Caenorhabditis elegans: one gene and its partner. The protein of the gene in region 1 purifies or fractionates together with the protein of each later gene. This does not show direct contact. Each region holds a gene or a part of one and is shown on either strand. Other genes may lie near its edges. The genes, in order: tdpt-1 and ets-4.

What was found.
Region 2: the proteins of tdpt-1 (region 1) and ets-4 purify together in Caenorhabditis elegans (affinity purification with western blotting, with the first as the bait; one study listed by BioGRID). This does not show direct contact.

Annotation. Positions count from the first base shown.
Region 1 is NC_003279.8:14,096,900-14,102,888, forward strand, and holds tdpt-1 (5'-tyrosyl-DNA phosphodiesterase), read right to left. Parts: upstream 4,192-5,989; 5' UTR 4,185-4,191; coding exon 4,133-4,184; intron 4,070-4,132; coding exon 3,995-4,069; intron 3,946-3,994; coding exon 3,725-3,945; intron 3,053-3,724; coding exon 2,958-3,052; intron 2,825-2,957; coding exon 2,593-2,824; intron 1,403-2,592; coding exon 1,119-1,402; intron 934-1,118; coding exon 804-933; 3' UTR 593-803; downstream 1-592. Other genes in the region: Protein tfg-1, read left to right, coding at 5,148-5,328, 5,381-5,526.
Region 2 is NC_003284.9:6,517,340-6,523,408, reverse strand, and holds ets-4 (Transcription factor ets-4), read right to left. Parts: upstream 4,474-6,069; 5' UTR 4,378-4,473; coding exon 4,362-4,377; intron 4,303-4,361; coding exon 4,231-4,302; intron 4,178-4,230; coding exon 4,029-4,177; intron 3,615-4,028; coding exon 3,531-3,614; intron 3,480-3,530; coding exon 3,440-3,479; intron 3,327-3,439; exon of another isoform or gene 3,118-3,326; intron 2,963-3,117; coding exon 2,816-2,962; intron 2,770-2,815; coding exon 2,578-2,769; intron 2,447-2,577; coding exon 2,361-2,446; intron 2,254-2,360; coding exon 2,178-2,253; intron 2,126-2,177; coding exon 2,024-2,125; intron 1,977-2,023; coding exon 1,617-1,976; intron 1,563-1,616; coding exon 1,495-1,562; 3' UTR 753-1,494; downstream 1-752. Other genes in the region: Homeobox protein ceh-60, read left to right, coding at 423-493, 546-626. UniProt on the Caenorhabditis elegans protein: Transcription factor which binds to 5'-GGAA/T-3' DNA consensus sequences. Both positively and negatively regulates the expression of target genes. Plays a role in the regulation of adult lifespan, which may in part be through modulation of daf-16 activity.

The DNA of each region.
Region 1 (5,989 bases):
CACCCCTAGAGGCCTAACATAACAAAATTTTCTGAGCAATTTTAAAAAAATTGTCCGAATGGCGCAGTGGGATTTCCGCCGGCTACCAATCAAGAGACCGGGGTTCGAGTCCGCGGCGTGGCGAATATTTTCAATTTTTTGCCAATTTGATGTGATTTTTAGCAATTTAAAACCTCAAAACCTAGAAATTTAGAACAAAAAGTTTTTGAAAGTTGGGTTTTGAGTCGAAATTATCAATTTTCTAGTTATTTTCTTCTAAAAACGATTTTTCCTATAGTTTAAGATAATAACAATCATCTAGAGGCTTATAAATCAGAAAAATCGAGTTTTAAGCTTTTCGAAAAAAAAAGTGTCCGAATGGCGCAGTGGGATTTTCGCCGGCTACCAATCACAAGACCGGGGTTCGAGTCCGCAATGTGGCAAAAATTTTTATTTTCTATTTGTAGTGGTTTTGAGATGAAATTTGTTATTTTAAAGCTCGAAATTTAAAAAATAAAATATTTTTTTATCCCAAAATTTCAATTTTCTAATTTTTTTAGGCGCCAATTTTTTTTTCCAAAAAATGAGCGATTTTCTATAGTTTTAAAAGAAAAAAAAAAGTGGATTTATTTACAATCAGTATCGAAAATCGAAGATCAATAAAAACAACGAGTTTTCAAAAAAAAGGGAGCTTAGATGAAAAAAAAAGATTAAAACCCGGTGACAACTGGGAGGTAATTCCTGGGTAAAAATAGTGAAAACCGGTCGAAAAACAAGTGAAAATGGGTAAAAAATGATGATTTAAGGCTTATTTAAGGCTTATTTCAGGCAAAAAACGTGGCATTGATAGCCCAATGATCAGATGGGAAGCACAAACAGGAACGGATGCGTTGGCGGCCTTCAAGTGTGAATTTGACTTTGTCCAGTGGTCCAGACCAGTATAGGCGGTCGAATCTGAAAATTTGAAGCTTTTTAGATTTTTTAAAAAATTGAAAAAAATCGATTTTTGTTTATTTTTTAAAAAATGATCGAATGGCTCAGTGCGCTTTTCGCCGTCTACCAATCACACGACCGGGGTTCGAGCCCCCGGTGTGGCAAAATATTTTTTATTTCTTTTTTATTTGTCTCTTCGCTTTTACCTCATCTTAGCGCCATGGAATCCCTGTTTATTGTCATTTTTGAAGGTGTCCCACGTGAATTTTGTCTTATTATCACTGCCGGCAGCCTCCCAGGCATCCTTAACACCGTCAGGCACACGGCTGACCTCCTCGTCTCGTAAGTTCAAATCGCCGCCGAAAAAGACGAGGGCGCCCGGGTTTTGAGCGATGATTTCACGGACTTTGTCCATGCAGAAGCCGAATTGAGCACAACGTTGCGGGCGGTGCTCACGTGTTGATTCGAGATGGGTGTTAAGTAGGAATACCTGCAAAAAACGAGAAAATTGGTTGAGGCTCAGGCTACAAACTACAAAAATTTGTTAAATTTGCCGAAAAGCGAATGATTTTAATAGAAATGTTCAGTTTTCTTTCAAAAAAATCAATTAAAACGAGGAAATTCTTCAGTTTTTTTTCGGGAAAGTGGTTGTGGCTCAGGTTACAAACTACAAACTCGGCTTAGCCTCACCAAACATTTCCGAAGCGAAATCTGATGAAAATACTCGAAATTTCCCTCATTTTTCTTCAAAAAAAGCTCCAAATTTTCAAAATTCTAGGGATTTCCCTCAAAAATCAGAAGAAAAACTGAAAGAATCAGGGTTTTAACCAGAATTCCGAAAAAAAAATTGGTTGAGGCTCAGGCTACAAACTACAAAATCGGCTTAGCCTCACCAAACATTTCCGGAGCGAAATCTGGTGAAAATACTCGAAATTTCCCACATTTTTTCTCAAAAAAGCTCAAATTTCCATAACATTTCATGTATTTCCGACAAAAATCATTGAAAAATTCAAAAAAATTACAAATAAAATTGATTGAAGCTCAGGCTACAAACTACACATTTGGTTAGCCTCACCAAAGTTTCAACGAATTTTTTTCGAACTCACACTACATACTGTGATTTTCAGCTAGAAATTGCAGAATTCTGATTGAAAAAAATCAATTATATCTCGAAAATCTTACAACAAAAAAGAGATTTTCAGGAAGACATAGGGATTTTCCGTAAAATTTGACCGAAAATTGATTTTAAAACCTGAAAATCTAGATTTTTTCAGTGGAAAATCCCATTTTCTGTAAAAATTTGAAGTTTTTTGCAAGAAAAACAAGAGGGAAAACATTTGAGGGGAAAAATTGGTTGAGGCCTACACTACAAACTACAAATGTGGTTAGCCTCAACCAATATACATTTTGCTCGATTTTAAGGTATTTTTTGCGGAAATTGATTGATTTTTACGGGAATTTTTATATTTTGTTTTGAAAAAATGGATTAAAATGCGAGAATTTTTCAAAAAATCTTTTTTTTCAGTAAAAAACTGAAAAATTCGATTATTGCGATAAAAATTGATTGAGGCTCAGGCTACAAATTACAAATTTGGGTAGCCTCAACCATCATTTTCACTCATTTTTAGCGGTTTTCCGGGATTTTTTCTTAAAATTTCGTCTATTTTCTGAAAAATTAACCTTCAAACCGCCAATAGATCCCTCCAAAATCTGCAAAGTTCTGTACATTCCAGAATTCTGAAAATGAATGACGTCATGCTTCTCGACGTCGAACATTTTCGACACAAGAATCGCCGTATAATATTGGCAGCCTTTGTTCGAATAATAGATTTTATACAGCGATTGAAGCTTATCAATCGGCGCCAAATCACGGTCGACGACTTCTTGGAGGAATAGGATGTCCGGATTGACGCTGAAATTTTTTTTTGGCGTTTCAGGTTGATTTTTGAAGATTTTTGACGGTTTTTAGTGATTTTTTTGCTGATTTTGCATCAAAATCAACTAAAAATTTGAAAATTCCGTGAAAAATCGCCGATTTTGCTCACTTTTTGACAATATGAGCCACTGCTTTCATTCTTGTGAGCAAGCTTCTCCCGTCGAGCCCATCAATGTTCCACGACATTACGCTGACTTCGAATCCCTGAAAAAATTTGAAATTTGTTGGAAAAATCGCGAAAAAAGTGAATTTTTTTTTGGTGAGGCTAAGCCGAGTTTGTAGTTTGTAGTCTTAGCCTCAACCAATTTTTTTTTCGGAATTCAGGTTAAAAGCGTGATTTTTTTCAGTTTTTCTAAAGATTTTCGAAGGAAATTCATGAAATTTTATGGAAATTTGAGCTTTTTTGAAGAAAAATGAGGGAAATTTCGAGTATTATGCTTCGGAAATGTTTGGTGAGGCTATACCGATTTTGTAGTTTGTAGTCTTAGCCTCAACCAATTTTTTTTCGGAATTCCGGTTGAAAGCGTGATTTTTTTTTAGTTTTTCTACTGATTTTTGAAGGAAATCTATGAAAATTTATGGAAATTTTAGTTTTTTTGATAAAAAATGAGGAAAATTTCAAGTATTTTCGCCAGATTTCGCTTTGGAAATTTTTGGTGAGGCTCGGCCGATTTTGTAGTTTGTAGCCTGAGCCTCAACCAATTTTTTTTTTCGGAATTCCGGTTGAAAAAGTGATTTTTTTCAAATTTTCAATGATTTCTGTGAAAAATCACTGAAATTTTACGGAAATTGCAGCATTTTTGAGGTTTTTTAACTCGAAAATCGATGTTTTTAGGTGGTTTGGCTTGATTTTGCTCCAAATATTCTTCTATTAACCTTCAAATCCTCTGCCGTCATCACCGCAGCTCCAGAGCTCGCCATAGACGATGAAGCGCCCATTACGGCCGCACTTCTGGCCTCTGCGAACGCCTCACTCCCGTAAAAAACGTCCAGAGCCTTCTTCAAATCCCAGTCTACATCCTGTAAAATCGACTGCGCAAAAGCCTCATCTGTGGCCGTGATTATTGCAAATTCATGCAGTTTTTGCTCGTCGCTCACTGAAAAATCGCGGATTTTCGCCTTAATTTATTGATTTTTCGGGTTTACTCGACGAATTTTTCAGTTTTCCTTGCTCCGGCTCATCTAGAATCTCGATTTCGACCTCGGAATCTTCTTGGGACACTGAAATATATTTTATTTGATTTAAAATTCAAATATTTTGAATTTCCAGCTGCAAAGCCTTACTTTTCTGTCGTTTAGCCTCAATTTCCTGTATTTCATCGTCAGAATTCGACATTTTTGAGCTGAAATTAGAGGATTTTATCATATTTTTTCAGAAAACGCGAAAAATCCACACGATAACTATTGAAATTCAAAAAATCGCGAAAAGAATAACTGAAAAGGCGGAGTCTAGCCGGGGGGCGTACCCTATTTGCAATCCTGGCACGCGTGTTGCAACTGCGGCGCACTTTTACCGAACGTGGAATTTTATATCGCGGATTTGGATCGTTTTTCTTCCCGTTATTTTCCCATTTTTCCTTGGTTTTCTTGCAGAAAATCCATAAAAATAGCAAGAAAAGTGAGTATTAGAGGTTAAAATCGATATTTTCACCATAAAAAAACCCCAGAAAACCGGCAAAAAACGATGAAAATCCGTGTGGAATTTTTTTAGACCTAGTTTCGCAATTTTTTCAATATTATCTTGAAGATTTTGATCTATTTTCGTGATCTTTACTTATTTTATGTGCCATATCCCGATTTTTATACCGAAAACCCGCGAAAATCTAGAGATTCCGATGGAATTGCTTTATTATATTACACGTGGAACTATTTTATTTCTTGATTTCTGCCGGTTTCTTGCTTTAAAATCTTAGAAAATAGCGTTTCAAGTGGGTTTTAGAGCCGAAAATTTAGATTTTCGATAGGAAAATCGCCTAAAAATCGATGAAACCATATTTTTGGCCTACTCCCGCTCTAATTTTGAAACTTTGATCTCGTTTAGGTCGAATTTCAACTAAAAAGTCGAATTTTCCTGTCAAAACACATGAAAATCCAAAATTTTCGTAAAAATATGAGCTCCGGATAAACTTGGGTGAGGCTGAGCCAATTTCGTAGTTTGTAGCCTGAGCCTCACCAAAATTCGGATTCTGTGTTTAATTCTTGATTTCTAGTTGATTTTCGCCGGTTTTTTTTTGCTTTTTTCTTTCTTTTTCTCCCGCAAAACCCAATTTTCCCTTTAAAAAACCCCCGTTTTTTCCAGATGGTGCATTCAAACGGAGCCATCACGAGCACAATTCTGAAGGCTCGTCACGCCGACGTCGTCCGCAAGACGTCACTTCACCACGCCAACGACTTGACACTCATCGATCTCGTGCTCAATGTGCAGCGGCTTTTGGCTCTCCCATCCGACGCGAATTTCGTGTTGAAGTACAAGGATGAAGGTAGGAATTGCACTGAAAATTGCGATTTTAATTCAATTTTTGTCAATTTTAGAAGGCGATTTGGTGACACTCGCCGAGGATAGCGACCTCCTGCTGGCTCTTCACACGTCTGGAGCCACGCTCGACGTGACCGTCGTTGTCGACTCGAGAGCTCGTGAGGCTGTGCACGATGTGCAGAAGCAAGTCGAGCAGATTAAGGTAAGGAGGATTTTGAGCGAAAAAAAACGATTTTTGAGCTGAAAAGCGCAATTTTGAGCGGGAAAATGCAAAATGTTGCAGAATTTTCATCGAAAATGCTGCATTTTTGAGCTTTTTAGACAAAAAAAAATCCGGAAAAACACTGAAAAATGTTGGTTGAGGCTAAGAAACAAGTGTAGTTTGTAGTGTGAGCCTCAACCAAACTAGCCAAAGCTTGAGTGAGGCTATGGTGATTTTGTAGTTTGTAGCTTTAGCCTCAACCAAATTAGCTAAAGCTTGAGTGAGGCTATGGTGATTTTGTAGTTTGTAGCTTTAGCCTCAACCAAATTAGCTAAAGCTTGAGTGAGGCTATGGTGATTTTGTAGTTTGTAGCTTTAGCCTCAACCAAATTAGCTAAAGCTTGAGTGAGGCTATGCAGCTTTTTTTTGTTTATAGTGTGAGCCTCAACCAATTTTGTTTTTAA
Region 2 (6,069 bases), on another chromosome or scaffold:
AAACTTAAACATAAAAATAATCAGTCTTAAAATTTTAAAAATTATATATTCTAGAAATCTTCCTTTTACTGAATACTAAAAATTCATCATATATCAATTTTAGAAAAAAAAACCATATTTATTATTTTTATCGTTTTGTGAGATGACGTTTTAAAATCTAATTGGTGATTTCAAAAAAACTTTCACATCGAGAAGGTTATTTTAAAATGTCGATATATTTGATGTGTTGGCATTTTTTTTTGATAAATGTAATTATTTTCAGGTTTTTCTACGTGAAAATTTCAAATTTACATTCATATGTGTCTTATAGTTTCCGCAAGTATCAATCAATTTCAGTTGATGATTTTTGTGTTTTGCATTGCGATTCCCATGTAACCGCAAACAAGCCATCCGTGGTCACCGCTTATCTTTGCTCTTTTCAGCGTTTCTCCATCAGCCACACTATTTTACTGCCGGAGGACAAATGTCACTCAATGATAATGGAAATGGACAGGTAGCTCAGCAAAAAAAGTATTGACGTAATGACCCTTCGTTCTCTGTTTCAGCAATTCTTCACAGATTATGAGACCTTTGGACTTGCACAATCGGATACAGAGTCGTTCAATCAAATGGGATATCTAGGATGATCTACTTTGATTGAGAAATTAAATGTTGAATTCGAAATTCGTTGTGTTTCATAATTCATCTTTTCAAAGCTTTCCTTCATTTTCATGTTTATCTTTAGTTTTGCTAAAAGCCAAGTTTTATATTTTGAAAAAATATTTATCTGGTTCATTAATATATAATACAATCTGAATAAATAATTGCACAATGATATAAAAAAACACTGGGACTACACATTGTTGTAATACAATTTCTTTGGGGGATAACTAGGCTAGTAAACAGGGGAAGGAGGCTGGAGTATAAATGGAATGTAAAATTAAAACATTTTTTTGATACAATATTATAATTGTTATAATTAACATAATCATATTGGTATAAATACAATCGGGAACAGTTCAGTAAAACGCTTATTTTTCTGTCACTGGTGGATATATGAGCCGTTATTTGGTAAAGTATTTGGGAGAGAGGAAGAGTTCTGACATGAGAACGAGAATAAATAGAGAACAACATATTGCACGGTTTCAAACCGGTAAATATTGCATTACAATAAATAAATCGAGTGAAACAATATTCAGACATCTGAACTACACACTCTAAATGGTAATAACATTTGTAATACTTTTTGATTGTTCCCAACAATTGAAAAAGAATGAGAAAAAAAAAGAAAATAAAGAAGTTGAATAAAACCTTGAATGATTGACTCGGGTATTAAAAAGAAGTATGGGACACAATAGGAATATGTTCTACAACGAACAGTACATGGAAGTATATCTTGAATCACAGATATCGGGAAATGGGACCACACTGGACCGACAGGACAAGTTGAAAAATGTAAACAGAGTATTGACACATACACAGATAGCAACACGTCGTTGTCTTTCTGCCAGATGACTACAAGTTATAAGGAGGCAGGAATTTGTACACCAAACGCTGCTTCTTTTCCGGCTTTTGGATGATTCCTGGAATATTGATTTGTAACGTTTTTGTTTTACACTTCCTCCTATTCTTTTTACCTTTCTTATAGTACTGTCGAAGACTTCTGGACAACTTGTCATAATTCATCTGTGAACGGTTTTTTCGTTGTCCCCAATATCTAGCCAGCAGGAGGGAAGACTCGATTTTAAAAGTTCCCTCATCTCTATCCACCCATCGAACACATGCACTGTACTGTTTTGGTTGATCCAAAAGCTCACGAATAAACTGCCACAGATGAACAGTTCCTTGATGACGAGTGTAGGCACGCTCATCGTCATCTCCCTCGCTTCCGTTGCACATTGCGTCAATAGGGGAGTTCATGTAACCCTGGTTGTGAAAGAAGTTTGAGAAACCACAGTTCGAATTGTTCATGTGAAGATCAATATCATCGTCATTCACTAAAAAACTCTGAATTAGTTACAGTACTAATAAGCCCGTGTCATACTGTCTTGACTGCTCCCATTGCTGCTGGTATCGCTGTTGCTTGGCGATGGCAAAACAGTTCCCTGTTGAAAGAAGCTGCTCATCGACATGTTTGGATACCCTCCTATAAATACAATTTACTTATTCACATCAAACGCTTCCGGTTCGAAACCAACCGTTTCCATTGAAAAATGGATGATTCGGGTTCTCAGCAGCTGCCATGTTGTTTGTTTGATTGTTGGTGCTGGCTAGCTAAAAATACGAGAAGGCTTTATGAAAAAAACGCATTGAGCAAATAGGGGTACAAAAAGACTGCGCGCCGAAAATTCTGAGGAATGACATAATCAACATTTACATACCCAATTAGTTTTTGACTGCATGTTATTTTCGGCAGCGGTCATTCCGGAGCTCTGAACGGTCACGGGTGGATGATAGTTTTCAAATGCTGAAATTGAATTGGATTGGTGTCTCGTTTTCGTGTGAGCATGTCACTGATAACCGTCATGATGACAATCAGAAAAAGGGCGTGATTTATAGTCATGCTAATCGCATCACCTTTCACGTAATCTGACGTACCGGTCTTCCACACTTGGAGTTGGGCATGCAACGTGTCGCCTCCCGCCGGCAAAATCATTTCGAAATCTTTTTGACTCATGCCGAGCAAATCAATACCAGTGATTGAACAGTTTCTAGGCGGCTGAAGATTGAATTGCATGCACATCTCGTTGATCCATCGTGCTCCATGCTCGGATGACCACAGGTAGAAATCTAGAGACCAAAAATATAAATGAGGTATTGTGGATAAGTAATGTACCATTTGGAAGTCCCAATTTGGCACAAGTTGTACTGATGTCTTGAATCAGATGACGGAGAATCAGGTCCCTGTAGATGTCAATTTGCTGGGTGTCAAGACCGTTGTCTTGCGCAATCTCCGGATTGACATTGAAATTGAGAATGTTTTCTGGAACTTTTTCGTGGTAAACATTCAAACAACAAGCATTGATGCATATCCATGTATCACCCGCACTTTTCTAACCCTGACACATTTCCATATCTTCCTAATATCTAAGCCCTTTTCTTTTTTACTTTGTAATGGGTCACAACTTTGTTTTCTATTGTGGTTAGCCAAAGCAGCTTAAAAAAACATGACCCCGACCCACAACTAATTCGGTAGCCGCTTGGAAAACTTTCACTGGTCAATCCAGGCGTGCCGTCAGCCAGAGAAAAAGCTGACCTGTGCCTAACTACCCTAATCGAAGGAAAACGTGTTTTCTCAATAGTATCTCCCGCCAAACGAAATGAGATGTTTTTCGATGAAGGGATAGTGAAAGTCCGAAAGGGAGAAGAAGGCGTTAAAAGAACCCGAGATTATGATTGACACCATTCAAAACAGTCGTTAATGGTGTTTGTATGTATCTAATCCATCTAAAGTACCAACCTTCAATCTCATTCTTCACAAACGTGCTGTGATCGGCGTCCTGCAAATTATAATAATACAGAGGGGTCAGTGTGATAATCAGTAAAACTACCTTTGAGAATCGACGGTTATACTCGATGGGTTGGATTGGAAGATTGCATGGCATATCCATCGGATGTGGTTTGACGTTGTTTACCTAAAATAGTTGTACATTGTGATTGTTTCCAACGTGATTAAAATGCAAAAAAAGTCACTCAAAAAATTATTTCTCTATTTTCTCCATCAATCGGGTCTTATCAATTATCGCATCTATGACGTAAATAGCACGCACGTGTCTTACTGTGAAAGAAAATGAATATGAGAACAAATAAAGTAAACTAAATTTCAAAATAGCAAAAAATTATTGAAGCTAACTTGCGTTTAAAAAAACATTGATGATTCAACTGATTGATAAAAATGAGTAAGGTGTGTTTGTTACTCTCATTTTCCCAAAAACGTTCTTATTTCAAACTTCAATTTTGGTAATCATAACCAGTTTTCAGAGCAGGCATAAAATAATTAACGCAACCACACCCACATGGTCTCAAAAAAGAAGAAGACAAAAACTTACCTGGTCGATTCCGAATAGATCATCATCAAATGGGAACTCGCTTTTAACAAAAGGAGTGCTTGCGGTTGACTCCGTTCCGGAATGTGGCTCCGGGCTCAGAGAATTCCATCTGTGACCGACTGAGCCAGTACCGTTCATTGATGAAGAATCTAGAGTGACAAAATACTATTGGAAATATTATAATTCCAACCGTCAGACTTACAACTTCCGTACTTGTATTCCAAGTTGTTGAACGGGAACGCGAATTGGTTCAAACCATGAAATTGGGTCTCGCCTGGAAATTAGAAGATTTATCTTTCAAATAAACACTATGATGAGAGAGGGTATACGTACAATAAGCAGCAGTCATATTGAACAGTACAAGTGAGATAGTAATAAAAGTTAGTACTGAAGATGGTAGGTTAAGTCGAGACCGAAGAGTAGTGTCGACCTGTTTGTGCACTAGAGTAGTAACGAATAAAGTGGCACTGTTAATCAGTCAAATTTTATTTTATCGCTAATTTTCGCTATTCCCAACCCCTTTTTTTGCTTCGACTCGGAAAAGTTATCAGCAGAGCGTCAAGCGATTTCTGGCGCGCGTGAGGTTGACTAGTGTGACACTCCTAATCATTGCCTCGCTCAGTGTCACATGAAACCAAGCTTTTCCAGAAATAAGCTGATAAGTAACAAAATGAAATTGATGGCGCCAATGGAAAACTGAATTGAAAACTCGATGATCTATTACACGAAATATGTTTGTTGGAGAGTTAGCATTGATTGCGTCAATTAGGGGGCAAAAGCCCATTTTTATCAGTGAATCATGTTGCACACCAATTCAATATTGAATTGAAAACTGATCTAATTGCTGACAAAATACTGAAACGTCATTAAATAAAACGTGAGAAGAGTTTGAAAAAATTTGTGGTTGAAAAGACGATATCAAATACATATTCGCAAGACATCGACTAAAAAACTAAAAAAAGATCAATCACTGAGCCGATCGAATATAATAAAATAATAAATAAAATGTACTGAGCTTGAACAAAAGTGTGGGGGTGGGGGGGGGGGGGGGGAAGGGTTCTAAAATTGATGAGTCAGGTTGGTCGTGTCAGACACGATGGGACCTCTTTCAATGGTGCAAACTACGCCGCGCCATCCCCCCATAATTCAATGCAAATGAACAAACCTTTTCTTATTCATACTACATAAGGAGTACAGGTAAAGAAGAAAAAAGAATGTGCATTGTGCACAATTTTTTTCATTATAAAGAGTTAGGATGTCATGAAAATTGGAAACAGGTTTATTGCTAGAAATTGGGAATGCACGTCATTGAATAAACAAGCTACAACGTGGCGGACCAGAAACATGGGTGAATCTATAAATTGAAAAATAATGACACGGTTGAAATGTTTTGAAATGTGTTTCAAGTCTATACTAAGTAGTGGACTCTAAGGTAATAAGTTTTAATAACTAACAAGCTATCTTGACGAATGAAAATCCTAAGAATCAATCGGTATGAAAGTGCACACAATTCTCTCTGGAATTGTGATGATGCGTGGGTCGATTTTTGCTCCTATTTTTTTTTTGATTTCATTGTCCATTAACGTTCCCTGGAGTCAAAACACATTTAGCTGGCTGATGTTGCAAAGAAATTATGACGCACTGTCTGATTTTGTTTGTCGCCTTATAAACTTGCAAAAAAATTACGTATTTGATAATATTCTGATATGCTCAACTTTTGCATTTCAGTGCCACAGTTTAAGCCATTGATAAGTCTAAAATTCTCGTGATTGATTACGATTTGCATCATAAATCACTAAATCATGTAACCCGTGTTTATCGCTGGAAAAAAGAAAACATTTAAAAAAAGTGAAATTTGAAGCAGCGAACTAAACTGCTGATAAAAAAGCGCACTCAGCAATTTTTTGTGAGCTGCCTATCAAGAAACAAAAGGGAAATGAAAACTTAAAATCATTGTGAGAATTATTGTTTTTTTTTCACATGCGTTGTATCTCCACAATGACAAAAATACCCTGCTGTCGCGAGAATTATTTGACTTGGT